4 linked regions of the Oreochromis niloticus genome follow. The protein of the gene in region 1 purifies or fractionates together with the protein of each later gene. This does not show direct contact. Links are inferred from orthologs where the notes say so. Each region holds a gene or a part of one and is shown in the gene's direction. Other genes may lie near its edges. The genes, in order: ss18, smarcd1, smarcd2 and bicra.

Evidence for each region.
Region 2: the proteins of ss18 (region 1) and smarcd1 purify together in Homo sapiens (affinity purification with mass spectrometry; 5 studies listed by BioGRID and IntAct, counting the BioPlex papers as one, with this or other methods). This does not show direct contact. The link is inferred for Oreochromis niloticus from reciprocal best matches to the Homo sapiens genes SS18 and SMARCD1.
Region 3: the proteins of ss18 (region 1) and smarcd2 purify together in Homo sapiens (affinity purification with mass spectrometry; 4 studies listed by BioGRID and IntAct, counting the BioPlex papers as one, with this or other methods). This does not show direct contact. The link is inferred for Oreochromis niloticus from reciprocal best matches to the Homo sapiens genes SS18 and SMARCD2.
Region 4: the proteins of ss18 (region 1) and bicra purify together in Homo sapiens (affinity purification with mass spectrometry; 3 studies listed by BioGRID and IntAct, counting the BioPlex papers as one, with this or other methods). This does not show direct contact. The link is inferred for Oreochromis niloticus from reciprocal best matches to the Homo sapiens genes SS18 and BICRA.

Annotation. Positions count from the first base shown.
Region 1 is NC_031982.2:17,086,548-17,094,362, reverse strand, and holds the start of ss18 (protein SSXT), read left to right. Parts: upstream 1-4,802; 5' UTR 4,803-4,921; coding exon 4,922-4,990; intron 4,991-5,037; exon of another isoform or gene 5,038-5,119; intron 5,120-5,472; coding exon 5,473-5,549; intron 5,550-5,659; coding exon 5,660-5,744; intron 5,745-7,484; coding exon 7,485-7,641; intron 7,642-7,815. Other genes in the region: psma8 (proteasome subunit alpha-type 8), read right to left, coding at 1,246-1,341, 1,425-1,487, 1,720-1,839, 1,941-2,063, 2,248-2,372, 2,530-2,656, 4,016-4,117. UniProt on the Homo sapiens protein: Appears to function synergistically with RBM14 as a transcriptional coactivator. Isoform 1 and isoform 2 function in nuclear receptor coactivation. Isoform 1 and isoform 2 function in general transcriptional coactivation.
Region 2 is NC_031970.2:8,062,217-8,069,439, forward strand, and holds the start of smarcd1 (SWI/SNF-related matrix-associated actin-dependent regulator of chromatin subfamily D member 1), read left to right. Parts: upstream 1-4,218; 5' UTR 4,219-4,271; coding exon 4,272-4,454; intron 4,455-7,223. UniProt on the Homo sapiens protein: Involved in transcriptional activation and repression of select genes by chromatin remodeling (alteration of DNA-nucleosome topology).
Region 3 is NC_031973.2:15,815,130-15,822,571, reverse strand, and holds the start of smarcd2 (SWI/SNF-related matrix-associated actin-dependent regulator of chromatin subfamily D member 2), read left to right. Parts: upstream 1-4,426; 5' UTR 4,427-4,870; coding exon 4,871-5,023; intron 5,024-7,416; coding exon 7,417-7,442. Other genes in the region: atxn7l3b (ataxin-7-like protein 3), read left to right, coding at 1,836-1,915. UniProt on the Homo sapiens protein: Involved in transcriptional activation and repression of select genes by chromatin remodeling (alteration of DNA-nucleosome topology).
Region 4 is NC_031979.2:33,407,469-33,414,950, reverse strand, and holds the start of bicra (BRD4-interacting chromatin-remodeling complex-associated protein), read left to right. Parts: upstream 1-4,473; 5' UTR 4,474-5,750; intron 5,751-7,482. Other genes in the region: napab (N-ethylmaleimide-sensitive factor attachment protein, alpha b), read right to left, coding at 1,634-1,750, 1,858-1,937, 3,353-3,450. UniProt on the Homo sapiens protein: Component of SWI/SNF chromatin remodeling subcomplex GBAF that carries out key enzymatic activities, changing chromatin structure by altering DNA-histone contacts within a nucleosome in an ATP-dependent manner.

The DNA of each region.
Region 1 (7,815 bases):
GGATTTATTAACTTATTACACGGGAAAAGATATCAGAGCGCTAATTGATCTCTGACATCATCCGAAACACCAACCTGTAAAGACTCACAAACAAGACAAAGTGCAATTGCTCTAGTCAAGGCAGCCAGGGCACCCACTCAGGAAATCCTGGCTTGGGGAGATGACTCTAAATGAAGGACTTTACCATTCACCATTATGTCTTTGGTAAGAGTCAGAGGGAACCCCCGGGGCTCTTCAGCACAGCACGGTACAACTTTTCAAAGGGCTCCAGATTAAAGTCACTGAAAGTTCCCACTGGGGTCTGAGGCCAGGATCCCATTAAGCAGCCCTACCACACCGCCGGCCATAATTGTGTCGTTGAGAATTCAGAGCAGTGGTTGCTTGATAAGCGAATTTAGGGAGAAATAAAAAAGGAGAGGCAAAAAAGGGGGTCTCGTTGGGCCACCATTAGACACTTCATTCGCTCATCACTAATTCGTTTTAAATGACTGAGGGAAAGGTGAGCACTTTATAAAGCAATCCAAGCTTCCAGCAACTCCCCACCCCCTTCCATTTTCAGGTCTGTGCAACAGAATGCTGATAAATGAAAAACGTTACACTTTATAGCCACACGCTTCACTTCTGCTAGTGGCGTTTTTAAACTGTAGTTATCTTTATCACACTACTTGCTTTGCAGTAGAATAATCAATAAAGAGAGTGAGGAAATCTTGTGCTCTTTTTCCAAGCCTCATCTTGAAGAAACCAGTCTTTGTTACTAGGAGTGTCACTTCTAATAATTTCTGTCATTTTTATACAATGGCTGTATTTAGTAGAGCAAGCTGGTATAATGGAGTGAAACAACTTTTATAATAAATCATACAAACAAGTCTGCTTTTATTGAGTATTTTGTTTCATTAAGGTTCTTTGTATCACATACAGTTTATTTTAACAGCGGGGAGTTATCAGAATTGTTTACTGAATGATAAAAAAAAAAAAAAGTGACCATATTTTAAGATCTGAACCCTAACCTGAGATCTACGACTGTGTGTCTTCGAAATAGTCAGCTCAACAGTTGGATGTATAAGAATTCTGAAGGTCTTTACAACTGGTATAGCATCTACACAATATGTGAAAATCACAAGTTATGAGTCAGTTCTTCACAATGAAATAAATGAATAAACCTTCTGAAACCTGCAAATATTTGGAACCCAAGTATGATATCATCATCATCCAAGTGCAATAAGGACAAGATTTTATACAACTGCTTTATGTGGATTTTTTCTGCTTTTTCTTCTCTGCTTCTTCTTCTTTTTCCTTTTCAATCTCAGTCACCAGGGTCTCAATTTCCTTGGATTCCAAAATCTGCAAAGAACAAAATGCAAACCCATTAGCACTTTAGTGAACTAGTAGAAAAAACATAAAGTAATATTTGCCTTGTTAATTACCTTCAGTGGCTGATTTCGTCTGATAACAGCAAGTTCAATATTTTTTCCCCCTGACTGGACAACCTGTGACCAGCAAACAAAAAAATAAAGCGAATACCGTGACCAATTCAGGAAACATTTATTACGCCAGCTAAGACCATTTACACAGAATGCATTGAAAAGAGAAAGTTATAGTTTATTTGGCAGCAGTTGGTGCTCTTTGATGAAACCATGACTGTTTAATTTCACATTATAGAAGACGTAAATACATTGAGGTCAACATATATGGAAATGCAGAAAGTAATCGTAACCTTACCTCAAGCAAAGCTTTGATGGCCAACTTGATTGCCTCATTGTCCCCAGCAATGGCTTCTTCTGTGTAATTCTTCTCCAAGAACTCTCTCACAGTTTTTGCGCTACGGCCGATTGCATTTGCCTGTTTTGGTTTTTTTTTTTTCAAAAATACATTTTTTTTTTTTTTAAGTCATTTTCATACTTGTACAAGAAACCTTTTGGACACAGAAAAATCCTACTGACCTTCCAGGCATGGTACGTTCCCGACGGGTCCGTCTGATACAGCCTGGGAGTTCCATCGTAGTCAAAGCCAACAATTAATGCAGAGATGCCAAACGGCCTGCGACCATTGCTTTGAGTATAGCGCTGCAAATACATAAAAAAAAAATGTTTTTTGACAGGTTATTCATGACTCTGTATTGAAAATGAAACGGCTAGCAAACATGGTCCACTACACAAATGCTGAAAACACTCTTGCCCACTGAAAGGAATAGCTAACATGTCTTTTTGAAGGTGTTAACAGTAAACGACTGCCCAGATGGTTCCTTACCTGTTTCAGTGTAGCTATGTAGCGTGTGATGTATTCCACTGTGACTGGGTCCTCAACTGTTAGCCTGTGGCTCTGGCACTCAACACGAGCTCTGTTTATCACAATACGAGCGTCTGCGGTCAAACCTATAAAATAATGAATGAGGCCATTCAACACATTACAAAACTACAACAAAAATATAAAAGCCAAGTACTAACACATGACACAGCTGTCTTCTACTATGCCATGTTAAATAATGAACACATTATTCAGTTATGGAAAGAAAATTGTTATCTGGGATACCTGCAAATGCCATGCAGACGTGCTCATCCAGTGCGCATATCTTGCGGACAGTTCTTTCCTCCTGCAACTTTGCAACAGATTTCTTCTCCACACCAAGGACAACAATGTCTTTACCTCTGATTCCCACCTGCATATAACAAAAAACAAACAAAAAAAAAATCAAAATATTAATATTAATTTTCTCCCATGGACTAGCAGTTGACGTGAGTAAATAATATCCAGCAAATATTCAGATCCCCAAATAAATCTACAAAGCGGATACCTCTGCATGTTTGATTTGGCAGAGTTTTAAGCTGTATGGCTCCAAATAAGTTTGTGTGTCCAGCTGTAAATGAACAATTCCCCAATAAGCTAACTAAAGAAAGTAAGTACACAATGCAAAGTATATCAGAGGGACAGCTCAGGTTGAGCAGTTTGGAGGCAAAGTTAAGATGGTTTGGACATGTGCAGAAGAGAGATACTGAATACAGTGAACAAGGGTTGTTGAGTATGGAGCTGCCAGGCAGGAGCAAACGAGGAAGAGGAAAAAGAAGATACATAAATGTAGTGAAGGTGGACATGCAGAGGGTTGGCATGACAGAAGAGGATTCTTGGGATAGGGTGAGACGAAGGCAGATAATCTGCTGTGTTGACCCCTAAAGAGAGCAGCCAAAAGAGGAATTAGAAGAGAGTGAGAACATTTTTCATTTACAACCTCAGTTATTTTCGCCAAGTAAAAATTCTGCTCAGGTCACGCATGTGGTTTTTTTTTTTGGTTTTTTTTTATTTGAGGTTTTTCTGTGGTCCACCTGTCCAAAAAGGAGCCTTCAACAAAGTAATCAGTTATCATAGCCAAGTTTACTCAACAAATCTGATTAGGACTTATTTAAGATAACTCCCAAACACATACAAGTTTTTTTTGCATTTATTTTCATATAGTAAATATAAACAGTTTGGTTTAGCCTTCATCATTCCTCAATGTCCTTTGTAATCCACTATTATGACAGCCGTTACCTCTAACCAGGGGAGCTGCGACTTAGTAGCTTTGTGAGTTTATAACTTTTGTCACTAAACCTTAACATAACTACCATTAGTTATGAGGCAACTACAGTGGCTTTTCAGTGATTTGGATGAGATATAATATGCTGAGTAAAACTCAACTTTCCAGACCAGGTAATAATCAATCATGGGTACTTGCAAACTCCTGTCAGTTAGTACCAACACAACGAAAATGAAAGTTAAGCGTGAAGAGTGACACAGCGACAAAATGCTAGCTAACGCTGACTGCTTTTTGTTTGCCATTTTCGGCATTAAAAATATGTATTACACATTTGCAAGCCAACAAGCTCGTAAAATTGCAACAAAACCTTGGTCCATAACAGAAGGTGTTAAGAGAGAAAATTGCTAAATACATAAAGGAAACCGCTAGCCGCGCGTTGATCGGCTAATCTAGCTTCACCCATGTTGCTATCGTTAGCTTTAGCATTAGTTTCATTTAAAGACTTACCGCTGTAGAACCTTTCTTTACAGCTTCCTGTGCATACTCCACTTGAAAAAGATGACCATCGGGAGAAAAGACAGTAATAGCTCTGTCATATCTTGCCGCCATTGCACCGCTAGACGCGTATTATAGCAATAAACTGGAGAAAAGGCTACCAAATGATTCAGCTTGTTAGCAACAAGCGATTCACTCCGTGTGTTGAAAAGGGCGCCTGCGCATGACCTGTGAACTGAGACGATACCAAAAGTGGAGTCCACCCGGAGGGAACTTGGGATTAAAACACAATACTCTGTATAATTTGATTGGTTCTCCGCAAAACAGAAATCGTAAAAAGTAGAATATTACACTACGAGCATATACAGTATTTTAATATCAAGTTTTATTTACTTTATATATTGAGAGAGATTTCTCCTTTCAAAACGGATGCTATAAGAGTGAATAAGAGCACATAAATCCCAGGACTGATATTAGTTATTACTACCAAAATTTATGCAATGTCATTTTAATAAGATATATATACACTAAACGCTCCGCTTTCCCCCTTTTTCCGACAGTTTATTTTTTATGGTCTTGTGGTCCAGCTCTGGACTGTTCCATTATATGAAAAATAGGTGAAATTGTAATCCAATTAAGCCAAAACGTGTATGATTTTAACTATTTAAATACATTTTCTTATATATTATGAGTTATCTGATCTTAAGCTTTACATTAATTATTCATGTATGGTCAGAACAAGCAGAAATCAGTAACTATGAGTTAAAATGTGCTACTTCGTCCCCCAAAACGGACCACCGCATTACGAAATTGCATCGTATTCTCAACTGCTTGATCTGAGTTCTACCGATTTGTTCAGTGTGTTAGCTACTTTTAACTTTTATGCTGTAGCTTACGTTAATATTCTATAGTATCACCATGTCGGTGGCATTTGCACCTCACAGGCAGCGTGGGAAGGGTGATATAACACCCGCTGGAATACAAAAGGTAATTCATCTTTTTTAGCGCGTCGCAGAATGGAGGCTGTGGCATCAAACGCGGCTAGCCGTTGAGATAATCAATGTAGCAGTGCCCATCCAAGTCCAACTGTGAGCAGCTCAGGAACAATGTTACAGGGTCAGAGCGCGGTGAATATGAACCTCCCTGGAAACGGCACTCCACGTGTGGAGTACGAGTCTTGGGTGGATTTATCGGACTAACGTATAATTGTGTTTTAGGTTAATGGAGGCCTGTGGTTTTGTTAGCAAAGCACAGCTAGCTAGCAAGACGCGTCTTTTGTTGGCTAGAAACGCACACTCACATTTTACAAAACACGACCCTTCACTGTCTTAAAATGAAGACAGAATAACATTCGGCAAGCAAATTAATTGTCACGCCAAATGACCGTGTTCGTCCGCTTTATTATTAATATTTTGGGGAGTTATAATGAGTACCACGCGTAATAGAAATCTCTGAATTTACCATTGCAGTTACTTGATGAAAACAACCAGCTGATCCAGTGCATAATGGATTTCCAGAGTAAAGGCAAAACTGCTGAGTGTTCACAGTAAGTTATTGGAGTTATTAAGTTTTAAAAATTTTTTTTTTTATAATATTTCACGTTACATTTATTTCAAGTTCCCATTGACTCAAACACTGCACTGTTCACTTGCCCAGGTATCAACAGATGCTGCACAGAAATTTAGTGTACTTGGCGACAATAGCAGACTCCAATCAGAACATGCAGTCTCTCCTCCCTGCTGTGAGTATGAATTCTTAGTGGTTGTTGTGAATGACTGAAATGTCTGACTGTCTTCTTAGATCATACCCAGTTCAAGTCACTTGGGTATTTTAGATAAATCATCAATGTTAAAAAAACATTTTTTTTGTGAGATTAAGAATTTTGAACAAAGTCATTAGTTTTTTTTTTTTCCCTGTTAGCAAAATTAAAATGAGTCTTTTGAAAACTCACTGTTATAGTGATCTGTTCAGTACAAACAGACTGCAGGATTTCTTTATGTATGAGTGCTATCTGTTGAGCTGTTGTAGCTGCCATTTAAGGATTTATTGCCAGTAGTGCTCATTCGCAAGGCTTCATTAAGTAGAATAAATATTTTGGGTGAACAAATTGAATCCTTTACTGAGAAAATCCATTCATTTCTCAGTTTGGTTAAGCTCTCAGGCACTTGTTAGTGGTGTTTAATATTGATATTATTTTTATTGGTAGTAGTATAATTATCGAGTCTGCTTATGGTTGGATTATCCATGCTCTTAATCATTCCATAACAATTACCCGTTTGAAGAACAAGGAGACTACAAGAGTCAAATATGTCAAAAACTAAAAGTACAATTTTTCTTTCAAGTCATTAAATGTAATCTTCATTAACTCAAAAGAGTGTTTATCAACTAGAACATTTATTAAACCTCAAATAAAGGTGTGCTTTTCTTGACCTTTAAATATAACCCAATTCCAATTACATGGAGAGAGAGGAAAAAAATGGTTGGCAATGTGAAGTTAGCCCGAGAAAGCCCATCTCGCAAGAGCAACTGCTAGTCACAGTGCATGCAGGCAAATGGGTATAAAGAGTCATATTATCTTGATTACCTTTGGAAGCCAAAACTTAATTCATATTAAAACTTGATCAATTACTCAGCCCTAAAGTTCCCAGCATCAACAAGAAACGCTGTGTACACCGTGTCTGAACACAGTGTAGAAATGGCCCAAAAAAGGCTTTTATTTGTAATTTATTTGACGTGCTCATCTACGCAAAACAGTTGTCGGCATCGAATAAAAAGAATTGATAAGCTTGGAGGCATAGAATTTTATTAGACTTGATTAATTCCATTAAAATCTGTTATCGATTCTCAACTGGAACTATTCTTGCATTCCCATCCCTAGTTGCAAAGAAGCACAGTGGTTACAAAAGTGATTGAAGTCACTGATTTGCTAACAATCATATAGTAAAGGAGTGAGTGTATTCTTATGAGTAAATGTTGCTGACATACCTTAAACTCAGATGATGAGTGTGGGCACATTCATTTTCTTAATATGCTGCATGGTGAGCATGTTTCTGGAGGGGTAGTCAATGACTCAAACAGCTGGGATTAGGACCAGCTGTTTAAAAGAAATGCAGACTAGAGAACAGTTTTAATTGCTGTTTTTAAGCCATGAACCTTTTAAACTGCTGCATGTATAACAGTCTTAGTTCAGGCTATTTTTTTAAGCCAGTTTTGTTCAGTTTGTTGCAACTTTGTCTATCGATGCATTTTTGTAATCATTGAAGGTTTCTAGCTGTTCCTTTTATTGAAAAACGTTTTTCCTTTTAATGTATATTAGTAGATTTTGTTCTCCTTAGATTAGTGTTCTACATCAATGCCACAATCTCTATATCAGAGTTATCATGTTTTTTTCTGGAGTTTTTATCTCAAGTGGCTCAGGTTGAGATCTGTTTTCAGAGAGATCATGTGGATTTATTTTTTTGTCTGTGTTGTGCACCTACAGCCGCCCACTCAAAATATGTCCATGGGTCCTGGTGGCATGAACCAAAGTGGCCCCCCTCCTCAGCCTCCTCACGGTCACAACATGCCCTCTGAGGGTATGGTCAGCGGTGGCCCTCCAGCCCCACATATGCAGAACCAGATGAATGGACAGATGCCTGGTATGTGTTCCCCCCCACCTTAACTTCCCTGCCTTGTCTTTCTTTTCTCTTTCTCCTTTTCCCTCAGTTCCTGTCTCACTTGGGTTGCCTAGCAACACCACAGAACTGTGAGGGAGGTCGCTCTAAGGTATCATAGGCAAACATGCTGAAGGATGATGTCACCCATTTGCCAGC
Region 2 (7,223 bases), on another chromosome or scaffold:
CACTCTTTTTACCCTTTATTCATTTGTAATCTTATATTTAACACTCAATAGGTCAAGTATAAAGACCCCTCACTCATGATAAAAAGGATATGGATAGATTTGTATCTTTGTATCTCTACACCTGAACAAGGTGTAAACTGGCACACATTGATGTATTTTTAATCTCTTAAACCCTGTAAAATAAAGGCCTTTTTATATAGACTTATCTAACCTACCTGAATTTCTGGTCTTGGATTTTTTAGGCCATTTTTGGCAACATTACTCAGAACATCTTTATTGATCCCCATATTAAGAGCAGTGGGAAGTCACAGAGGGCCAATAGCATTGGTGAAGGGCACAATTCTGAGAGATTTCATTTATTTTTCATGGTAGGAAATATCTGACCTCAGAACATACAAACTCAAAGCACAAGGCTTTTATCCTAGGCTCAAACCCAGCCACTCTTACTCATTTGTGCCTGATGTATTTAGTCCACAAAAAAAGACATTGAAAAACATTTGAAAAAAAATGAATAGTTTCCTAAGAAATATCTTAAAATTACATCCCTTTTTCTCCCACATTAAAGGCATGATGTGATGTGTCATATTTTTCTTTTCTGCCTATCCCAAGATGTTTCCTGCTTCACCCAAAGGCCCACTGTCATTACACTGCTTCAGAGCCAACAACACTTGAGTCAACTACTCTGAGGGCAGACTTGGGAGGCCCAGTGGTGAAGGACACTATTGCTGTCTTGTCCTTGAATATTTTAAGATTAATAATCCATACTGATTTATTTCTAGGCCAGTTATGATGTCAATAATTCATTACTGGTACCAAAACAGTTTTAGATTTTTCATTAATTATTCTACACAAAAAAGGAAAGCATCAGAGGCTGAGGTACTTCAAATGTTTCATTTTTTGCATCAGTCATTTAATGAAATCGGTAGGATGATGGACAAAAGCATAAAGAGCCATCTTCAACTACAAGAAGAACCATGAGTCCTGCCTTTCACAGCAGTATCAGCTTGATATGGCTTGAGACCACCAAAGAACAGCAGCAAGTTCTCCAAGATCATAGAAAAGCATTTTGAAAGTCCTTTTAAAGGACAGGGATGGTCACACTAAATACTTCTCTCATTGCAGTCTGCTGCACTTTGCATGATGAATGATGACGTTAACTGATAAATAAAAACTACTTCCTTCATTATTTTGAAAGCATCCAGCATTTCCTTTTAATGGCTACGACTCAGTCATGGCGGTATATTCCTTCCAAATGTCTCTCTACGAGGGCCTCGCATGCTGTTTTGTTTGGTTTTAATCCATTTTGCAGTCCCTGGCAGACAGATTGACTGGATGGCATACCAAACAAGACAGAGTTAACCTTTGTTTAACTTTTACAAACCCAGACAGAGTTGTTTGTTTTGGTTTACTGCACATTGCATCCATAGATCTGGTTTTTAGTCACCAGTCAGCCTGGAGAGATATCAGACGCTGAATATAATTAAGTTTATTCATTTGGTTAGAGGGACAATGAATTTTAATTACAGTTCTGAAAAAAGAGAGATAAGCAAAAGGCTAATTTTCATAGTCACTGAGCCCGTATTGCCAATAATTTATCAAAGATTGAAAGAAGAAAATGCAATCAGATTATGATAAAAGGTGCCAATGCTCCACTGTTAATTTAGTTAATTAACAGTTTCATTATCTTCATTTCATTTTCATTTCAAGATTACTTGTCAGATACTGACTTATGCTATTTTTTCTTGTGTTTCATACTTCATGTTAGCACTTGTTTAATTAAAGAATAAAATGAAGGAGCAACACACAAACACAATAATGTTTCTGGATTTAGTTTTATTTCATTTATAACCTTCCTTAATTTAAGAAAGGCTGTGATTTCCCTTCATGTTCAGTGAAATTAAGTTAAAGTAATTACTTTTAAACAAGTGCCAAAGTACTAAATTGAGGTACACAAGGTTTATCTTTACAAGCACCTATATTTATCTGTCATATTTCGGTACTTAATAATTACACAATTTCATATGCACTTTAATTTAGAGCAAAAAAACTTTAAAGGTGTCACTTTGGACTCGAGATAATTACGGTGAAAGAAAAATAGAGCCAAATTACAGAGCCAGAGGCAGACAGGTACAGTTCTGTGAAAAAGAACATTTTTCACAGGACTCTATGCACTCCTGTGAAAAATGAGTACACGCTTAATGCTTCCATTAAAATTATATTAGCAGCCAGGAATTAAAAAGGTAAGTGGCAGCCAGGTATTGATAATCAACAAATCATCACCAAATGTGAGAACCTCTATAAAAGCAGACGTTTTGGCAGGTTGCTGGTCTGGAGCATTTAGGTCTGTGTTTACACTATCCCACAATCTTCCCAGGACTGGATATCCCAGCAAAGTCACCCAAAGACCACATCATGCAGTGGTAAGAAAAACTTCAAAGAACGCAAAAACATGAGATACTTATTAAACTCAACAGATATTTCCTACTTCATGGCAGTATAACTAGATATAGACTGAAAAACTATGGCTTGGTTGGAAGGACTGGAAGGAGATAGTCTCTTCTCTCTAAAAACATAGCAGCACGGTTTAGGATTGCAAACTTGCAGCTGAGCAAGCCTCATGACTTCTGGAGCAATGTCCATTAGACAGACAAGTTCAAAGTGGAGCTGTCTGGCCATAATACACAACACTGCGTTTGGCGAAAACCAAACACAGGATATCAGCTCACACACCTCACATCAACCGTCAAAGCACAAGCTTACAGACCTTGGAGTTACTGAGTCGACCATGAACCAAAGTGTTTTAGAGCCAGATGTGAGGTCATCTGTTCAACACCTGAAGTTTGGTTGAAATCGGATCGTCCAAAATGACAATTATACCAAGCTCACCAACAAATCTACAATGGCTGAAAAAGAAAAGACTCAAGGTGCTGCAATGGGCTAGTCGAAGTTTAGACATCCAACTGAAATGCCTGCAAGCCTAAATGAACTTAAGCAGAATTCTAAAGAGATAAGAATATTAAAGACAAGTGGGACAAGTTTCCTCCACAACAACATGAGAGACTGATAAAATCATAAAGAAAACAATTACTTTAAGCTATTGATGCAAAAGGATCTAAAAGCTATCAAGTCACAGGATGCATTTAGTTTTTACAGGTCTGTATTTAGACCAGTAAAAACTTTTACTTTTACATGACTGTAAAACAAACTTGCAGCTTAGTAAGGTCAGTACCAAAGCAAAACACAAGGAAGGCTAACAAGATAAAGACAAAAAGGTCAGTCAAAAATCTAGGTTAACTTGCTGAGGTCAAAAAAACAGGCAGAGTGCACATAGACAGTCCAAGGCATGGATGAACAGGTAAGTGGAGACCTGGGGAAGATTAGGTGATGCTTCTTCTTGAAACTTTTTGCATTCCCTCTTTCACTACATCCATGAATGTTCTCTGTGGTCTTCCTCTCTTCCCTCTGCCTGGTAGCTCCATCTTTAACATTATTTGTCCAATGTAACCACTATCCTTCCTCTGCATATGACAGCTTTGCCTCTCTAACTTTGTCTCAATCTGAGCTGTACCTCCTAAATACTTATTTTTAAACTTGTCCATCCTGGTGACTGCAACAGTCTCCATACCATTCATCATCTCAGATCTCAATACCATTTTAAAAGCTTTCCCATTCGCTCTTGCTGCTATCCTTCTGTCACGAATCACCCTGATACTTGTCTCCACACACTCCATCCTGGCTACACTCTCGTCTTCACCTTTTTTGTTCACTGCCCATGGCTTTGGGGATGATGTTAAATTTATTAATTAAAAATGAATTACCACATTACCTAACTAAAATATCCATTAATTGTAGTCCAGTAGCATATTGTAGCAAAAAAAACGTATCCATCTACAACAGTAATATCCTGGTCAATCCTGCTTTTTAAGTAATTATACTCTAACAGATGTAACATAAAACAAATATTTTGCGTAATAGCACAACTGAAGTGAGTACTCTTAATACCTTAAGTACATGTTCATGATTATAGTTAGAAACTTTTACATAACTAGTATTTTTTAAAGAACTTATATGGAGTAATGGAGTATATTTACAGTACTTTTGTAACGTTGAACGAGGACCTATTCCGCCGTCATCGTCACCAGGTCTAATTTTGCTGTAGTACCACCAACAAACAGGGGAGGGCGTCTTGAACCTGTGACGTCCATCCCAACACTCGTTCTCGCTCTCGCGGTAGCTCCGCGCCTACACCGGCAGCGACATTCAGAGAGGAGATGGCGGCCAGAGGGGGGTTTCAGTCGGCACCGACGGGTGGTGGTGGAGCAATGGGACCTGGACCACCGGTACCGGGTGCAGGACCAGGCATGGGACCAGGAACACCTTCTGGAAGAATGGGACCATCGGCTGCCGCGCAGAACCACATGTACCGCTCACCGATGCCCGGGCCTGGGTACCCGGTAAGATATCGCTCTATCTTTGCTGCTGACGCGTTAGCGAGTCCGCTAGAACAAAGCCTCGCTCCGCTTGCTTTGTCCCTAGTGGCTAGCATTAACCCCCTTCACCACCGTAGGCCACAGCTCATACTAACTAGCAGCCCGGTTCAAAACTGGTGATGCATTTGAAATATTTCACCAGTCGCTGTGGATGACCATCAGAGTTTGTTTGTTGTTTGAATTTGCTAACCCTCCCGCCTGCTAACATTAAGGTTAGCTAGCTAATCGCAGCATCCAGTTAGCTTAGCCTGCTAACCCCGCTAACTGTTAACTGTATTTCGGCCAGTTTTCTTATCAAAAAGACCCAAAATGTGCACCGTGTAGTTTGTAAACATAACAATTAAACCATCCTTTAAGTTTTAGAAGTTGTAGTTTGTGAAGTTCAGGCTCGGTTCGAACTCAGAAGTTGTTATAAGTCGAGCCTACTTTTGAATGAATCGGCTGCATCAATATGAGTTTGTGTCAATGCAAATTTACAACCTACCTACAGAAACACTGATTAAGGAGAGGTGCCAGTCAGTAGCAGACTTCACTCTTTGTTTAGCTGGTGCAGTTTGTCTCGTCGAAGTTGGTGTTTTACAACTTGTAAAGTCTAACATCAGTGTGTCTATGTTTAGTGAGCTCACTGTTACTTGGCTGGTCTGCCGCAAAGTACACCAAGTACCAAGAAACGCTGGGATCTCAGCGTGAACTCACTACGCATCTAAACTGCTGGAAGGATGTTTAGTTAATTTTGAGTCTTATAAGCTGATATTTTCTGATCTTCAAATCAGATTACAGCGGTTAGTCCATTGGTCACAATTAATAATAATAATAATCACATGATTAATCTACAGTCGTTTCTCACATTTGAAATATAAAATAATTTACACAATCTATTAACATTTACACAGTGCAGAATTGATTTGAAAACACATTAACATTGTCCACCAGCAGCATTGGTAAACTAATCTTATTTGCCAGTATACCATCAACAAACTGGATATACAGTAACTGGTCGGTTGGTTGTTTGTCAGTCTCAGAAAGGGGAAAGTTGCCTCACAAACATTTGTCCAAATAGTCGAAAATTTACTTACGGACCTGCAGGTGATACACACATATTAAACACAATTTAACAGTAGTCTATGATCCCCTAAATTGCAGAGATACTCAGAGTAATTATGCAGTAAAATAGATAGAAAAACAGATGTCCAAAGGAGACAATTTCTACAAATTGTCACAATGAATACACAATAAAACCATGGTGCGTTCACCCTCAGCCACTAGTTATCTTGTTTGTTTTTTTAAGATTTGTGCTGTTTCAAGATATTGTGATAATATTTTGATTTATAGCACTTTTACATAGGTGGGTCCTCATACTCATTTGATTATATTAGTTAGGAAACTTGATGTTTTGGTCTCAGGTAGAAGAAAAAAACATAATTTTGAGTTTTAGTGATTTCCTGTCAGATTAAACATTTCCAGAATCCCATCCACATTCGCTGTGTTGCTCGTGTTTGGTCTAAAGTAGATGTTTCAGGCTCTGGTTGCCTTGGTAATACTGTAATTTATTTACCAACCTGTCTTATGTCAGTCAGCGGTATCAATGACGGCAGCTTGGAAAACGTCCTTCACTTTGTTTGCACTATTAAATGTTGCTGCTTGCAAGCTAAAGTCACCAATACAACGTTGTTTTTTCCCCTGTATCGCTGTAAATATAATCACAATTTTCCCTCAAATATTGTGATATAACTTTGAGGCTAATATCACCGACTCTGACTGTAATGGGAGAAGAATGAATATGGGGAACTGTGAAGGTGAACGCAAAGTGCACCTTCACAGTTGCCTGACTCTGAACCACGAAATAGTCTGATATAGACCAACTGTTTCAACTCTGGACGGTGATGTTGATTAGGTTGCCGAATATTTTTGTATGTCGAGGGTGGAAATCCCTGGAATATAATTTTTAAAAACCTCCCTTTAATACATATAGAGATGCACAGCTCACAGATGCACAGAAAATAAAAGAAAAAAAGTTTAAGCAGGTAAAATGACATCAGCTCATTTTCTATCTTGAAATCCCACACTATATTAATATGGAGATACTGATCATTTCAGAAGTTTAACTGCAAGGTAGAAGATGCTGCCAATTTCTCCTTCTAGTTCTTATGTAACAGAATCAAGGTCCACGATGACTGCTGAGATTTAAAGGTGAGCTCCCTTTGGCTGAAGAAACTGAAATCTTTCATTTGCTTTCACATCCTGCAACACATCGTTCTGCACAGTGGGGACTCAAGAAAATGACCAAGAAGCAAACATTTTCAGTAAATCAGGACTTCAGACTCTAAATGTTTTCAAATGAATGGACTTTAAAGCTGATTGTGTGCTCCAGCGATATACTGCGTGCATGCTCCATTACTATATTTGATCAGAACTCTTTGGTTTCTTGGTCTTATTATCCCATGCATGCTCTTGCATTCATATTTAGTATCAGAGTATAAATTTTCATATCCTGATCTGTAGTCCTGGGTTTATTCCCCCGATATTGCATTGGATTGAGTCATCTCCAGCTAATATGTTATGTCTTAAGATAAGAGAATTGTATTAAAATCAAGATATAAACGATGAGTCATTTATCACTGATCCACAGCTGAAGTGTTTGCTTCTTAGCTACTACCAACCTGAAAGACAGCTCAGTAAATGGTTGTCACATATTTTTTCTCTTCCAACGTCCTTGGCAGCCTTTCACATCAT
Region 3 (7,442 bases), on another chromosome or scaffold:
TTTCCAGGTTACGCCTATCTGTCAGTACAGTCCATACTGTAGTGGTTTACAAATTCGCCTAACAAATGAGAAATCCTCAGCCCGATTGCAGGAGGAGACACAAATCCCTTTGAGGTTGCATCAAAAAGAAAAAAGAAATCTGCCAAGCCAAGCATACAGAGCTGCCCGCTGTGGCGACCCTTTATAAATAAGGGAGCAGCCAAAAGTAGCTCCTTCTTCCACCTGTATGCTCACGAAAGTGATTTCAAGGGCAAAATTACACAAGAATTCCTCCTTTAGACACAACATGCCCTAATAATCTATGTCTAATAGAATGAAATGAAGTGGTGAATTTTATTGTCCCAAATGTCAAGGACGTGTTAACGTCAGCTGATTTTATTAGCCACTATTAATGAGCGTAATTCAACAGGAAACCATAACCATATATTTGGTCACATAATGAAGTGTTAAAGGTGTTTGGCTTCAGACTGTGGTGGCTATAAAGGTATCCTGTTTTGCTTTCTCTATATTTGTCACATCCATGACTTTATAAGATTTCTACCACACCAAAGTATGCGGTAGAACGTTTTGTTCTGTAGAATTCAGAAAGTTCACAGTGTAGCAACATAAGGTTTTTCTCCCTTGATCTGTCAGTTAAACCTTTGTTTATGGTAAATGGACTGGTTCTCTACTCTGAGCATTCAAAGCGCTTTATACAACTTGTACATTCACCCAATCACACCCAAGCACTTTTTCTAAGCTGTTAAGTGCTCCCTATCTAACATTCATACACATTCACACTCTGATGGGTGTTGTAGGGAACTATGTTGGGTTAGTATCTTGCCCGAGGATATTTGGCATGCAGACTGGAGCAGACTGGGATCAAACCACCAACCTTCCAGTTAGCAGCTGACCTGCTCTAGCACCTGAGCTACAGCTACCCCCAGTCTACAACTAAAAAGACATATTAAAAAAAACTTACAAATTTCTGCTAGCATATTATAAAAATTATTCAAAATACTCTTACTGGCCACTTTATTAGATACATCTTTCTTGTGCTGGGTTGGAACCCCATTTGTGCACAGAACTGCCCTCATGTTTCATGGCACAGGTTCAACGCACTGCTGGAAACATTCCTCAGAGATTCTGGTCCACATTGATATCGGCCAAAGTGTGCCAAGAAGATATTTCCCACACTCTTACACTGACACCAGAAGTCTGAACAGTTGAGACAAGGCAGAATGGATCAATGCTTTCTTGTTTTTTTTACGCATGTTGCAGCAAAAACTAAGCCTCATCATACCAGGCAATGCTTTTCCAACCTTTTATTGTCCAAATTTGGTCAGGAAATGTGTCTTAGGTTCCTGTTCTTAGCTGACAGGAAGGGCATCCGCTGTGGTCTTCTGCCACTGTGTCCTGTCTGCTTCGAGGCTAAACATGTGCGTTCAGAGATGCTCTTCTGCGAACCTTAACTGTATTGTGGTTATTAGCATACTCCAGATGTCTGGCGTCAATGAGGCATTTTCACCCATACGACTGCTGCTCATTAGATATTTTCTGTTTTCTTTAAACCGCACTTAAATCGTCTTTTTTCCCTATTCTGAGGCTCAATTTTAATTTCAGCTGGCTGTCTTGAGCATCTCTACATATCTAAATGCATGTAGTTGCTGCCATGTGATTGGCTGGTTAGATATCTGCCTTAATGAGCAGTTGAACATGTACCTAATAAATTGTCTGGTGCACATATAATTTAGAACCAGTAATAGTGTAGTGATTGAGACACTAAACACCAGTTGAAATCAATTATGTGTCTGGATTGAAGCATGAATAAATAAATGGCGCGTCTGTTCCTCTAGGCATGATGGGTCCCAGACGTCGCATGGACAACCAGGAGAGCCCGCGCATGCTGATGAAAGATGAGGCATTCTCACAATAACACAAACACAAACATTCTCTCACTATCATGTGTGCGGAGATGCACACAGAGACACGCTCACGGGATGACCAACAACACTTCACCTTTGGTTCTTTATGTTGTGAAATGAATGGACGTTGATGGTTAAAGGCAACGTTTGTGGTGTTTGCTGCTCTGCAGAAGCAGTCCAGAGCTCCCAACCTTATACTTGACAAATTTATTTTTATTCAGAAAATCATTGTACCAACACTTGTTTTGTTTTGTTTTTTGTTTTGTTTTTTAAAAAGAAAATTTTCTGTAGTTATCATTTTCGACTGATACTTTTCACCAAATATGATTTCACTGCACAGATGTAAACTTTGGTGTAATTCATTCAGAGACGGTGTATGCTTACAGTATTATTTTGTTTCTTTTCATAAAATACAGAAATGATTACACAGTGGATGTCCTTATATTACCTCACATTTTACAATCTCAATCTTTGAAAAAAAAATAATAATGTCAAAGACAATCATTGCTAATGGTTTGTCTTTTATTTTCACCTTTCACTGTCTGAATTTCTCAAACAGAATTAAAAGACAAGCATCTGTCGTTCACCTGTGGAAACTTGTTTCACAATGTTCAGGACATGAACTCCTGAAGTGTAGAAGCAGGTATTTGGTGCAGAAAGCAGGTTTCTTCATTTTTCTTTTTTTTTTTGGTGGATAGAGTTGCTTGTTTTCTAGCATTGAAATATGTCTTTGTATCATGTGTTTACATTGTAAAGGGTTACATATGTCCTTGGTGTGATGTGATAGTGTAAATATTCTAATAGTTGAATTGCTGCTATCATGGCTCAGTTTGTTTCATCTGTCTAGCAAAATAAATGATTTGTTATCTGTCCTGTGTTTTCACATTCATTTTAACAAAAGTGTGAATGTATAAAACAGCAACCAAGTACATAGAATTAATGTCTTACCGACCAACAGGGGGTGCTGTTGATCAGATGATGTACACATGCTTCTGTTGCTGGATGTGGGCCTAAATATTGCCTTGGTTAGTGTGGTTATAGGTCATTTTCTTAGAAAACTGTCATGTTGTAAACACAGCCGTGTTCATACAGTTCAAGCTTCTTATTCAGAGTTTATTGTACCAAGGGGGAGCTGATAATGTTTTTGTGTAGCCTTCCTAAACTCTGCAGTACAGGCATTAATGTAGCCCATAGGTTAAAAGATTTTGATGAGCAATAGTTCTCAAGGCTTTCTGAAAGTCTTTCCAAGTTTTTCTTTGGACGTGGGCTGCTTTTTCACTCCTATTCATATTCAGTCAATGTACCTGACCATTTTCAGGAGAATGTTTTGTTTTTTTTTCTTTAAATTCAAGCATAAAAGGGGGCATTTAACTCAAGGGAGGAAGTAGTTTTATTTCTGCACATACCAGATAACTTAGCACAGGACCAGTTTTAAAGTGGCACTTTTTTAGACAAAAAAATCCAAAGATAACACAGTTTGAGTGTGTTATAGCAACAAGCTGATTTCTAAAGAGCTACTAGCTGAAGACTTGGAATAATTTGGTATTGTGTGCAAGAATTTGGAGAAACTTGACAAATAGAGGATAAAAAAAATGCCAAGCCTAAAACAAATATCTACAACAGATGAACAGTAAACAGAAAAAATCCACAAAAACTGACAGAGGATCTATGTACTGTTTACTGAAGACTCATCAGAAATAGCCTCAGTGGAAGGTTGGCTATCAACAAGCCATTATTAAGGAAGGGAAATGGGGAGAAATGGCTGAGGTATGCAAAACTTCACAAGAATTGGACTCTACAGAGGACGTCAGGGTAGAGGGTAGAACAGTGGGTGTCTACAGTCATCTGTATAATATGGTGGAGGCTCTCTGGAGGTTTGGGGCTGTGTTTCAGTCAATGGTGTAGGGGATCTTTTAAAAATGAATGGGAAAGTAGCGTCATATTTAGATCCACCATGCAATGCAATCTGAAAAGTGTCTGACTGGCAGTGACATAATTTTTTAGCAGGAAGGTGATCCCAAACAAAGAAGAGCTTTGAATGTCCCCTAAGAAGACTGGAGAACTATTCCTGAAGAGTATTTAAGCTTGCTTAAGAGAGTTCGTGTTGTGCTGATGAATAAATGTAGTCATACCAAATATTGGCTTTCAAGCTCCCTAAAATTGTACAGCCTCCGTTTTTCTTTTATCCTGTATTTCCCTGTATGTTTCTATACGTTTCAACACTTCTAGATTCAGCACATTACTGTTTAAGAAAAATTAGTGTTCAGGAGGCAGAGTATTACTCCAGGATTTGGTTTGGAAGAAACAAAATTACACTATTACAAAATCTATCGCAAGTTTCTGTATGTCACATTTGAAATCAAGCGTTGAAAATAAAATATAATTGAAAATATATACTTTTACAAAATACACAAGAAATAAAGACTTCAGACTAGCATGTGTTTTAACGTGTTCAAAAAGAAAAAAAAAATCGAGATTATTGCGCGCTGAAATTTGGAACTTCCTAATTTCCGATGTTTGTGAACGCAACATGTAGTTGAGCGTACTTGGTTTTGCTTTAGAGTGCAGACAAACTATCTGCTCAAGATACTCAGTTTGTCATAAGTCAGACGTTATCATGTTTTTAATTCGCCTCACAGTGTATTAGCTTTTAGTTATCGTTTATCTGGCGTCGTTCAGTCGTAAAGGCGCGAGTGGGAGATGACAAGAGCTCCCACTTGGCGTGTTCACAAAACGAGCAGTCACTAGGTAGAAGCAAATCCCGGAACTTGAAACGGTAGGAAGTGAGCTAACGTTAGCTAGCTTTTTGTTGACAGTGTGCTTGCTGTCAAACCAGAAACCGACCTAAGCAGAAGTACCCGGAGTTAGTTAGCTACCTACTTGGAGACTTCAGCCTGCCGCACTTTTATTTGGGCCGAATTTGGTTTGAAGTTTCCGTCACTTTTAACCACTTGTGGCTCTAGAAGATGGCATCGAGGGGAAGCTTCACTGGTCCTCCGATGAATTCGAGTATGAGCCCCATGAATGTTGGGCATGCCGCGGGCATGAGGATGCAAGGAATGCCCCAGCCTCCGGGGGGATATCCCAGAAGCATGAGCAGCGTTCCCCAATACCCCCAGGTTGGTTCTGCTTGATTTCTCCGTGTCAAATAAAGAAACTGAGTGAAAGGTGAGGGTGACGGTATTTGTCCGATCACCCCCATGTCTTTTTAAGCCTTTCGTTACTTTGGAGCCTTAAATTGGTGTTTAAATAAAATTATCTAATTGAAATACTCACCCGAGAGACATGGAAATAAAAAAAAAAACCCCATAAAGCTCATTATTCTTCATATATATCACCGTGTGGACACTACTTCCGCCTTCGAAGTGGGTGTAATTATTTATTGATTACCGCAATCATTAAGTGTAACCTTTTTTCTTTTATGGCATTTGAAGTGGTACATAAAAGTAGTGGGACGTTTAATTCAAATTGATATCGTTTAGCGTTTTGTGCGCGTGTGAAAAAGAAAATCACGTGGTTGCCCGCTTCGCCTCCTGTCAGTTAGCGTGAAAGCAAAAGTTTATCAGCCCCATCTGCCCAGAGGCAAGCCTGCATACATCGTGCCAGTATTGTCACCATCTGCAGCTTCTCCCGTAGTTAACAGACACCATCGCAGTTACCCCCGTTTTGACAGTTGGAGCCATTTGGGTTTAGACTTTTTTTTAATGTTTACAAACTGGACAAAGTGTGAGAATTCTCACAATTTGTTGATACATTATTTACAGTACTGATGTGTTACATAAAAAGACATAATTAAAAAGAAAAAAAATCTAGTCAGTAACAGGTCTTAAAATAAATACACCCTCAGATGTGTAACAAAGCACAACACATCACACTGGGTTATTATTTATATAACAAAACCTGAGCCGAAATGCAGAAGCAGTGTGTGAAAAACTAAGCACGCCTCAAGATTCAGGAGCTTGTTCAACTGCTTTTAGCAGCAACAGTGTGAAGTAATCCTTTTCTGTATGACTTTATCAGCCCTTCACAGGAGGAATTTTGGTGCACTCTTCTTTACAACATTGCTTCAGTTCATTGGCATTTGCAGGCATTTGTTTATGTGCAGCTCTCTTAAGATCCTGCCAAAGCATTTTACGCGGGTTGAGGACTTTGATTGTGTGATTACACCACGTTGATTCTTTTCTTCTTGAGCTGTTCTGTTGTAGATTTGTTTGTGTGCTTGTGATCATTACACTCGAGTTTTAGCTGTCAAGTATATGGCCTCGCATTTGACTTCATCACCGCGCTTGACAGCTGGTATGAGGTGTTTGTGCTGTTATGCTGTGTTTAGTTTTCACCAAATGTAGTGCTGAGCATTATGGCCAAATATCCCCAGTTTGGTCTCACTTGTCCAAAGGACATTGCTCCAGAGGTTTTGTGGTTTGTTCAAATGTGAGAGCCTTTATTCTGGAAGCCCGTCCAAACAAGCCATACTTGTTTAGTTTTTTTCTAATTGTGCTGCCATGAACTTTAACATTTAGCATGCTAACTGAGGCCTGAGAAGTAGCTCTTGCAAAGTTTGAACTTGGAGTGAATTTACTGGGACGTTCACTCCTGGGAAGATTGGCAACTGTCTTGAATGCTTTCCATTTGTGGATAATAGTTCTCACTGTAGACAGATGGATTCATATTGTTTGGAAATTACCTTATAAGGCTTTCCAGATTGATGGGCAGCAGTTGCTTCTCAAGGACTATCGCTGATGTGTTCGTGTTAACACACCTGAATCCTCCAAACCAGCAAACTGTCAAAACCTCTGCTGTTACAGAGGTGTTCACACTTCCTGAAACTAATAAATTGATGAAGTGCATTAGCAGCATCTGGCTGTTACTTTACTGCTTCTGCATTTCTATTTATTTTTTTTGTTTAACAATAAATAAAAACACAGTGTAATATGTCATGTGTTGTATTTCATCCAAGGTTATATTTAGCAAATTTTAAAGCATGCTAAGAACCAGATTTCTTTTCATTATATCCTGATACGTGAAACCTTTAAGTTGAAAGAGGTTGTGCTTTGTGTAGATGGAGATAAAGACTGCAGTGCCATAACAGTTTTTATATGCACAACTTCATAATTAAACCATAGAACTTAAAAACTTAACCCCACCTGCAGAAACAGTGCATTTACGTTTTTGGCATGTTTTTAATGGGGCTATTATGACTCATAATATTTATGGTACAACCAAAAGCATACAGTGTAAGTGACTATACTGTATGTCACTGTGCACTCTTTTTACTCACCAGATCCAAAAAGCTAGAATTTGATATAAGTTGATCATACAATATGAAATTTATGTGCACACAGCTTAACACATCATTGGTTTTATTATTATTATTATTTTAAAATGGGTACTTTTTTCTGTCTCTTTAGTAAATCAGATCCTTGATTTCTTTTAGTCCTAAATGAAATATTCAACTTTTTGTGTAGATATGGAGAAATCGTTCCGTGAAATCAGTTTCCCTCTTTTTCTCTAGCGCCCCGGGATGCCATCCAGCAGAGT
Region 4 (7,482 bases), on another chromosome or scaffold:
ATTCATTCTACCCAATGACAACAACCCCACACAGGAACAAGATGGGCTATGAAATGTGTACTATGATGCAGGACCGCAACGATTCATCGGGTAATTCGAATAATTTGATTGTTAAAAAAAATAAAATAAAAAATCCTTAACACAAATTCAACAATTTCAATGCCTAATTTAATGTACAGCTCTATTCGTCACCATGTAAACCCGAACACAAGTGTTTCACCCACATTTGCAACTAAAAAAAAGACCTGCTATACAAATGTATTTAGGGGCAGAGTGAATATGAAATTTAACACTAAACCTACGCAGTCCCCAGTTTTATGATGAAAAGACTGATAACACAACAGCAGCACTGATGCTAGCACCGTTTAACATGGAGCCTGAGTCCGTTCACACACTGCAAAAAAGAGGCAGCATCATTACAGAGATGATGAGCTCTCAGGTGGAGTCAAAGAAAATGTGTTTCTAGTATTCTAGTAAGCGCTGTTCCAGTAATCGACATTAAAACCTTTACTGGAAAATGTCTGGAAAGAGTCCTTCATCAAAGCACCTGATTAACAAACTGTGACATGAAGAAAAGCAAACTTTGTAGCTGCTCCATCCACTGCCGTTTGTTTTACATGGTGAAAAATCTGCAGTAACAGGGAGAGTCTAAACTGGGGAATGGGGTGTACTAGACCATATTTATTTCATGGCTTTTGTAACATTTTTCAGACTGAAAGTGAAATAATATACAATACTGTGTTAATGAAACTGCATTAATAGTTAAAAATAAAAAACTTTTTTTCATTAAACTCTTAGCCACTGCCCTGTGGGTTGTTAGATAGGACACTGAATTATTATTATTAATATTAATTAATGCCTGCACTTTCATAACGCCCTGTTTTCAGCAGTACAAAAATTGGCATCAAAGCACAAGGAAAACTTTAGAATGCTGATATTTAAGTCTCATTTAAAGGCTTACAGACAAACTCACTGCACTACTCACGACTATGAAGTATCGTACGTCAAGTTTTTAATGCCACGTGGTGGCACTCTTTTAATATCTCTAAATCATAGCAGCTAAAATGAAATAATGAGATTAATTTTTAAAAAAAACAAAAAAAATAAAATAAAATTTACTCAAATTCTTTTCCGCTTTTCTTTTATTGATGCAGAACTTATGTGCAGCTGTCATGTGATAAATAAACAGCAGATAGATGGGTGCTCATTAAATAATTAAATCAAATTAGGATTTATCAAAATTATCATTCTCCTGACATGATTACTCTCTTATCTGCAGCCAGTCCTGCAGGTTTGTCAGGTGAAGCAGCTTAAACTCGATGAGTAATATCATAATAATCAAATGACTCATCAGACACCTCAGTTTATGGAAGGACACGTGGAGCAGAAGGAATGAAACCTCAACAGTACTGAAGTACTCAAAGAGTACCTCAAACATGCTCTCACTAATCAGGAATTTCACTGTTTATAGCATTTGTATGACGTTAAAGATTTAATAAAGTAAATAAAAGATTTAATAACATTTTTAAACCATTTTCACTTTCATTATCTAAAGCTTTTATATGAAAAGGTGTAAAACTTACAAGTGTACTTCATCTATATTATATACCCCAAAGTGATGTGTATAGTTTACCTTGTGGATCTGCTTTTTTGAAGGCATTTCCAGCATCTATGAAGTTGGTTGCTGCATCGTGTTTGCTTTGCATCTGCAGGTGAAGGTGAGCAGCTTGGGAGAATGCATTTCCTGCAGCTATTAAGAAGATAAATTGTTGCATTTTAAAATCACTGAAGCACATAGGAAAAAAAGAAAGAGGCATTCAATACATTTGTTGTGTTGAAATGTGACAATCATCTTACCACACCAATTCTTGGCCATTTTGTACATGTTGGCTGCCCTCACCAACATGTCACAGGCTTCTTCCAGCTTTGAGGAGCCACTGTGTGACAAAACATGTTTTTTTTTTCTTAATAAGACATCCATCCATTGCAGATTATCACGGGATGATATAAACACTTCACTCGGTAAAATCCCTTTGGAAAGATGTATAATCAGCTGATTTTTTTTTCTTTTTAGTATACTTACATGCAAAATTTTAGCACCATATTATGAATATTTTAAAAGCAATGGGTCAAAACTTTATTCCTTTTATTATTTTTTTTCTCATTACTTCACATGTACAGAAGCCCGCCTTCTGAAATTTTCAGGGCTGACAAACATATTTAAGTCCGTTTCAAAACAGCGACCAAATCAATTTTGAAACCCACTCTCACACCCAAGTCTCACAATCTAAAGCCAAAATCTAATTTTTGCTCATAATGATTATGGGATATGTTATAATTTAAATAGTACAACTGCCTCAACTGAATGCCTATAACATAGAGGAAGAGGAACAAGGATTGGCATGCGAAATATTTGATCTACTTTTTTTTTTTTTTTTTATAAATAAGTCACTGGTCGAAACAAGTTATAGCGGTCCTTTTCCCAGCCGGCACTCACTGATTTTTCATTGAGTGACGCCAAAAGACCATGTTTGCCTTCAGTGTGCAATCCTTTAAACTTTCTTTAAGTTACTATTTTATAGTGAGGAAAGGTTTGTAAAACCGTTTATTAGTAGAAATATAAAAGTGTTGACTCTGCTTGTGATTTCAGTCCCATTACCCACACACAACTATCTTGACAATTACATTTTCAAGTTTCGCCACAAACCCCTCGCGGATTTTACAGCCTCATACATAACACATAGCCTTTAACCTTGCACGTGAGCTCCTGCTACAATAAAAGAAAAAAATCCAACCTGAAAAATTAACCTGCATTTAGGTTGTTATATGCAAAGCCCGTTGTACAGGTTAGTGAGAGCTAGTCTTACATGCACTTTCGCTACATCACAAGTACGTTTTCTTCTTTTGCTGTAAACAAATGTGAATGACACGTGATTTGGACTGAGTGGCCTTCCGAAAACTGCCCAACAGACGGCGCTATAGGGGAGGCGCTGCCTTTACAATTAAGTGAAATTATCTTAAAATGTTAAACAATTCAGCTTTGGGTTCAACTGAATCTATTTCTAGCATGAAAGCTGCCTTAAAGCGGAGTCTAAAATGAGCATGTACCGACTATTTCCAGCTATCTTTCACACTAAACGCTTTCCAGTTATACGACGAGCCGAGAAAAGGTAGCTATGCTAAACGACAGCCTTGAAAATAACCGCATAATAGTAACTACAACTTATAAAGGCAATCAACAGTTATTTAAAATCGTTTTGTCCTGGCTTTTAACCCTTGTGGTCAGCTCCCAACCTTCCGCATAGCTGTCTCCTTTAGCCAAACGTTAACGTTAGCTAGCTGACAGACTCACCCAAACAACGCTCCAAAAAACGACTGAGACGATTTCATTTTCTTTTCAGCCTCGGCCATCAAAGCATTTGCTTCCTTTTCTTTTCCGCTGTTATCCATTTTCAGGCAATCGTTCTGTTTCTGAGATAGAACGAATAAATGTAAAAGTCAACAAACTCGCTAACCACTGCTAGTGGCTGCAGGCTAACCTTGTCACATCACCAGCCGCAAAGTAACCATCACCTCTGTCACGTGACACAGGAGCACCGACGCACTACTGTTGCTGCTGGTGCATTCAAGTACTCTTTTGCTATCCAGTATATTAGTCATATCTGGTAACCGTTAGAAGTTTTTTTTTTTTTTAAAGTTACATTTAAATCTTCGTATGGTTTTAGTGTAGTTATTGACTTTGTTTCAGTAAACTGAGCTTTCCTTTTTCTAACTTTGGAATATCTGTTTATTGTCTGGTATGAGCTGGTATGAAAATCTAGAACTGGATTATTCCATAGTCTATCCAGCTAACCAGCTAACAACTACATCTAGTGTTTCTAATCATCATTAATGTAAAGGAGAATACATCACAGCTGTACAGAGACTGCTGTAAAGTTAAGTGGTGTCATAACAGTAAATTTCTATTCATAAAACACAACCCTAAAAATGTATTAAATAGCCTCCTTCATTTTCTCTTTTGACTATAACTCAAACATACAGTATGAATACAAAATATGCATATGTAATCACAAATAGTTACATCAACAAGCTATAATATCCAGCACAATGGTTCTTGGTTTGTGACCAGCCTAAAAATAAATCGATGGATGGATAGTCAGTTCATTAGAACTGCATGTAACATTACATGTTAATTTTTATTAACACACTAAAGTGTTAAAGTGATATCATGTGGTACTTCTCATGGTTTGCATATACCACTGATTTCTTAAATATGTTTTAAAAAAGTTTTAACAAAGAACAATCAAACAGTTCAACATACACAAAGCAATTAACACCACCCTCTTACCCCCACAAACACACACACACCTGACAATTTTACTACACAGTAAGACAATCAAGGCTTATTTAGAAAAATAAACTAATACATGAATAAAAAAAACCATAATTATTATGGTGGTAATGAGTAATTAAGTAAAACAAGTAAAAATAAAAACAGTTAACTGTTCCCCACAAATTCGAGTGCACTGCATGCATGTCTTCTCAGCGTAACCAGTCAGCAACTGCCATCAAGTTGTAACAGAGTTGAGGTTATTTTCTAGGGGCATACAATCTGAAAAGAAGTGACCACACACTGAGGAATAACTCTTCATTTCCTTTTATTTTCCTTCATTTCCATGCAAAAGGAGTGTTAAAAAATAGTGATAGTTGTGGTTTTATTTGTAGCAGCTTGTGACAAATTCTCCTGACATGATTACTCATGTGATTTGTGTCTTTTTTGTGTTTTTGCAATTACTTTTGGCTCTGTTTAGCAGTGCTCAAACAATATTATTGATATGGACCATATAGAAACGTTTGCACACTATAATGCTGAACAGCATACTTCAGGGTCACCACATTGACCAGGTGAGCAAACCTGATTAGCAGGTGTTGGCAGAACACTAAACATTGTTTGGAAAGTTAACATGCTACAATATGCCTTATCGCTTTTCAGTATAACTGTAGTATCCTAGTTGTATATATGAATATTGATTATCAGACAAATAATTCATATCAGATTTGTTGTGTAAACTGGTACACTATTTCTGCTTGCTTTGTGAGCTGTACTAGGCTACTTTGACTGATAAACACTTTATAGCATAGTCTGTGACTAATCCCCCTGTAGCAAAAATTTAATTTTAATGTATTTTATTTGAAATTATAATCCAATTATACTTACCCACAAATACCTAAATGGAGGTACATTAGAATAAGGGAGTTACAAGACGAAGTTTTAGAGGACACAAATAATTAGTAGTGAAAAGCAATGCATAACTTCAGTTATTTTATATTAAAGGATGCACAAATTAGTAATTTTTAGTAGTGCCCTGCTACTGTATCAGGGATGTGCCTTATCAGGCCTAGACGTTTCCAGGTATGTGCTATTTACTTCGTTTTTAAACATCAAGGGTTAGCTTTTCGCGCGATATCAGCTGCAAATCTCCAGTCGTTTTTCCTAAAAAAAGACTTCAGACTTCAGGTTTACGAACAAAAACAGCCCCACAAATTTACTGAGAAAGGTGTTTAAATGTACGAAAAACTTTGCTAAGCACGTCGAAAGAAAAGTTCTGCCACGGTACACGCAGGAGGAATAGATTTCAATCAGGCAAACCGGAAGTCTCCTGTTTCCTGCCTTGTAGTTGGGTCCTGTACAGCAGCCCGTGCGAGGCTGTCCTGGAGACCCCGCGCTGCCTGCACCTCTATCGTCTCGGGTGAGTTTGTTACAATGTAGCAATTTCTCTATTAATCCAAAAAACTGTTACAAAGCTGCAATATTCGCGAACTGCACGCGAGCCGCGAACTGCACGGCTACCGCAATCGAAGCGCCACGCTGCCGCACGAACCGGCGAACATGCTCATTTTCCACCGAATTCCCAAGCATACCCCCCTCATCCAAGAGTATTCCAACATTAACTCATATTTTGCTTACAAGGAGAGATAGCTAGCTACGCAATTGCATTTACGCTTCAAAGCAGACAATACTGCCTTGCCTTTGTCAAATCGAGGCATCGTTGTGCAGTAGGAGTGTTAAAATTGTGTCACTCGCTGGTTTGTTTTGAATGTCAAAGCCTCAAGCTAGCTGTACGTCTCAATATTGTTGATAGCTTGTTGGCTTAGCTGGTTAGCTAGCTAGGCTAACGAAAGTCAACCCAGATGCGTTAAAATGACTGAAAATAGAGGCAAAACAGTGGTTTAAAATTAAACGTTTTGTTAAATTAGAGTCTTAAGTCCGCAGTGTGGCTACAAAATACTCCGTGTTGTGAGTAATAAGCGAAATATACATGCAAAGCTTTTTGAAAACACTAGCTAGCATGTAGCAAGCCGCTTGCAGTGACTCCATTCATATCCTGCGTACTAGCTGCGCTCTAACTGAGCAATGGCTACGATCTGCTGCTGCTTCAGAGCGGCAACTGGGTGTACGGTCGCTTTATTGGTCTCGGTAAACTTGTGGAAGCTGATTTGAGATGTTATTTTCGTGTTGTTGGAAACGAAAGGCACAGCTGGTGTTTTGAGTTGTGGTAAATTCAGCGGGAGGCGAGAGCCCGTTCTCGAAATCTTTGCAGGCGGAGCGAAAACCGCGCGTTTTCAGTTTGTTGTCTATTGCCATCCGCTGTTTTCTCGGATTTTAACAAATATGAGTTCTGCTTGGTCTCTCTATGGGTTCGTTACCACATGGGGATTTCTGTTGTTGATAAGTGTAGGTGTTAAAAGACGTTTAATTTTTTGAAAATCAGTTTCTGTATTTAACTGTAAACTTTATTATTATTTTATAATTTCAGGACCTCATATGTTATTTATCACGTCATGCCTGCTTTATCCTAACAAGACACCGAAATATCTGACAGTGATAGGTGATGTAATGATTTGAGTCATTACTCATAATTTGAATGTTAAAAACACACAGGGGAAAATTGAGGACTTTGAAATTAAAAACTATCGACTGACCTTTTCTGTATATCATATGTGATGGACTTCATAAATGTTTATTAATATGGTTATTAACTAACTATATAGCCCATACTACCTAAGAGTAATTAGAGTGTTTAAATATAACTTAGTCTTTTTGGATACCAAATGACCATGATGGTTAGTCCAGCTTACTGGATAGCTTTGGAAGCAAGAAAAATGTTTAGATTTTTAATGTTTGTGATTTTTCAATAAAATGCATTTCTAGACCTGGTAAAGTGATGCCATTTTTACATTACAGCTTAATCCCTACACTAAACTGTATTTGAATTGAAAGTATTTCTGTATCTTGACAAATTTTGAGTCATAAAGAGTAAAATAATACATTAGTTCAGTTTAAAAACACTCAGAATAAGAAGGTTTTGTGCTTTTAGAGAGATACTGTAAGCTAGTATAGGCTGTTCTTCATCAGTGTTGCACATCGATAGGTAATTAAATGTTAAATGTTTAGTTGTACTTGAATAAATTAACAGGAAC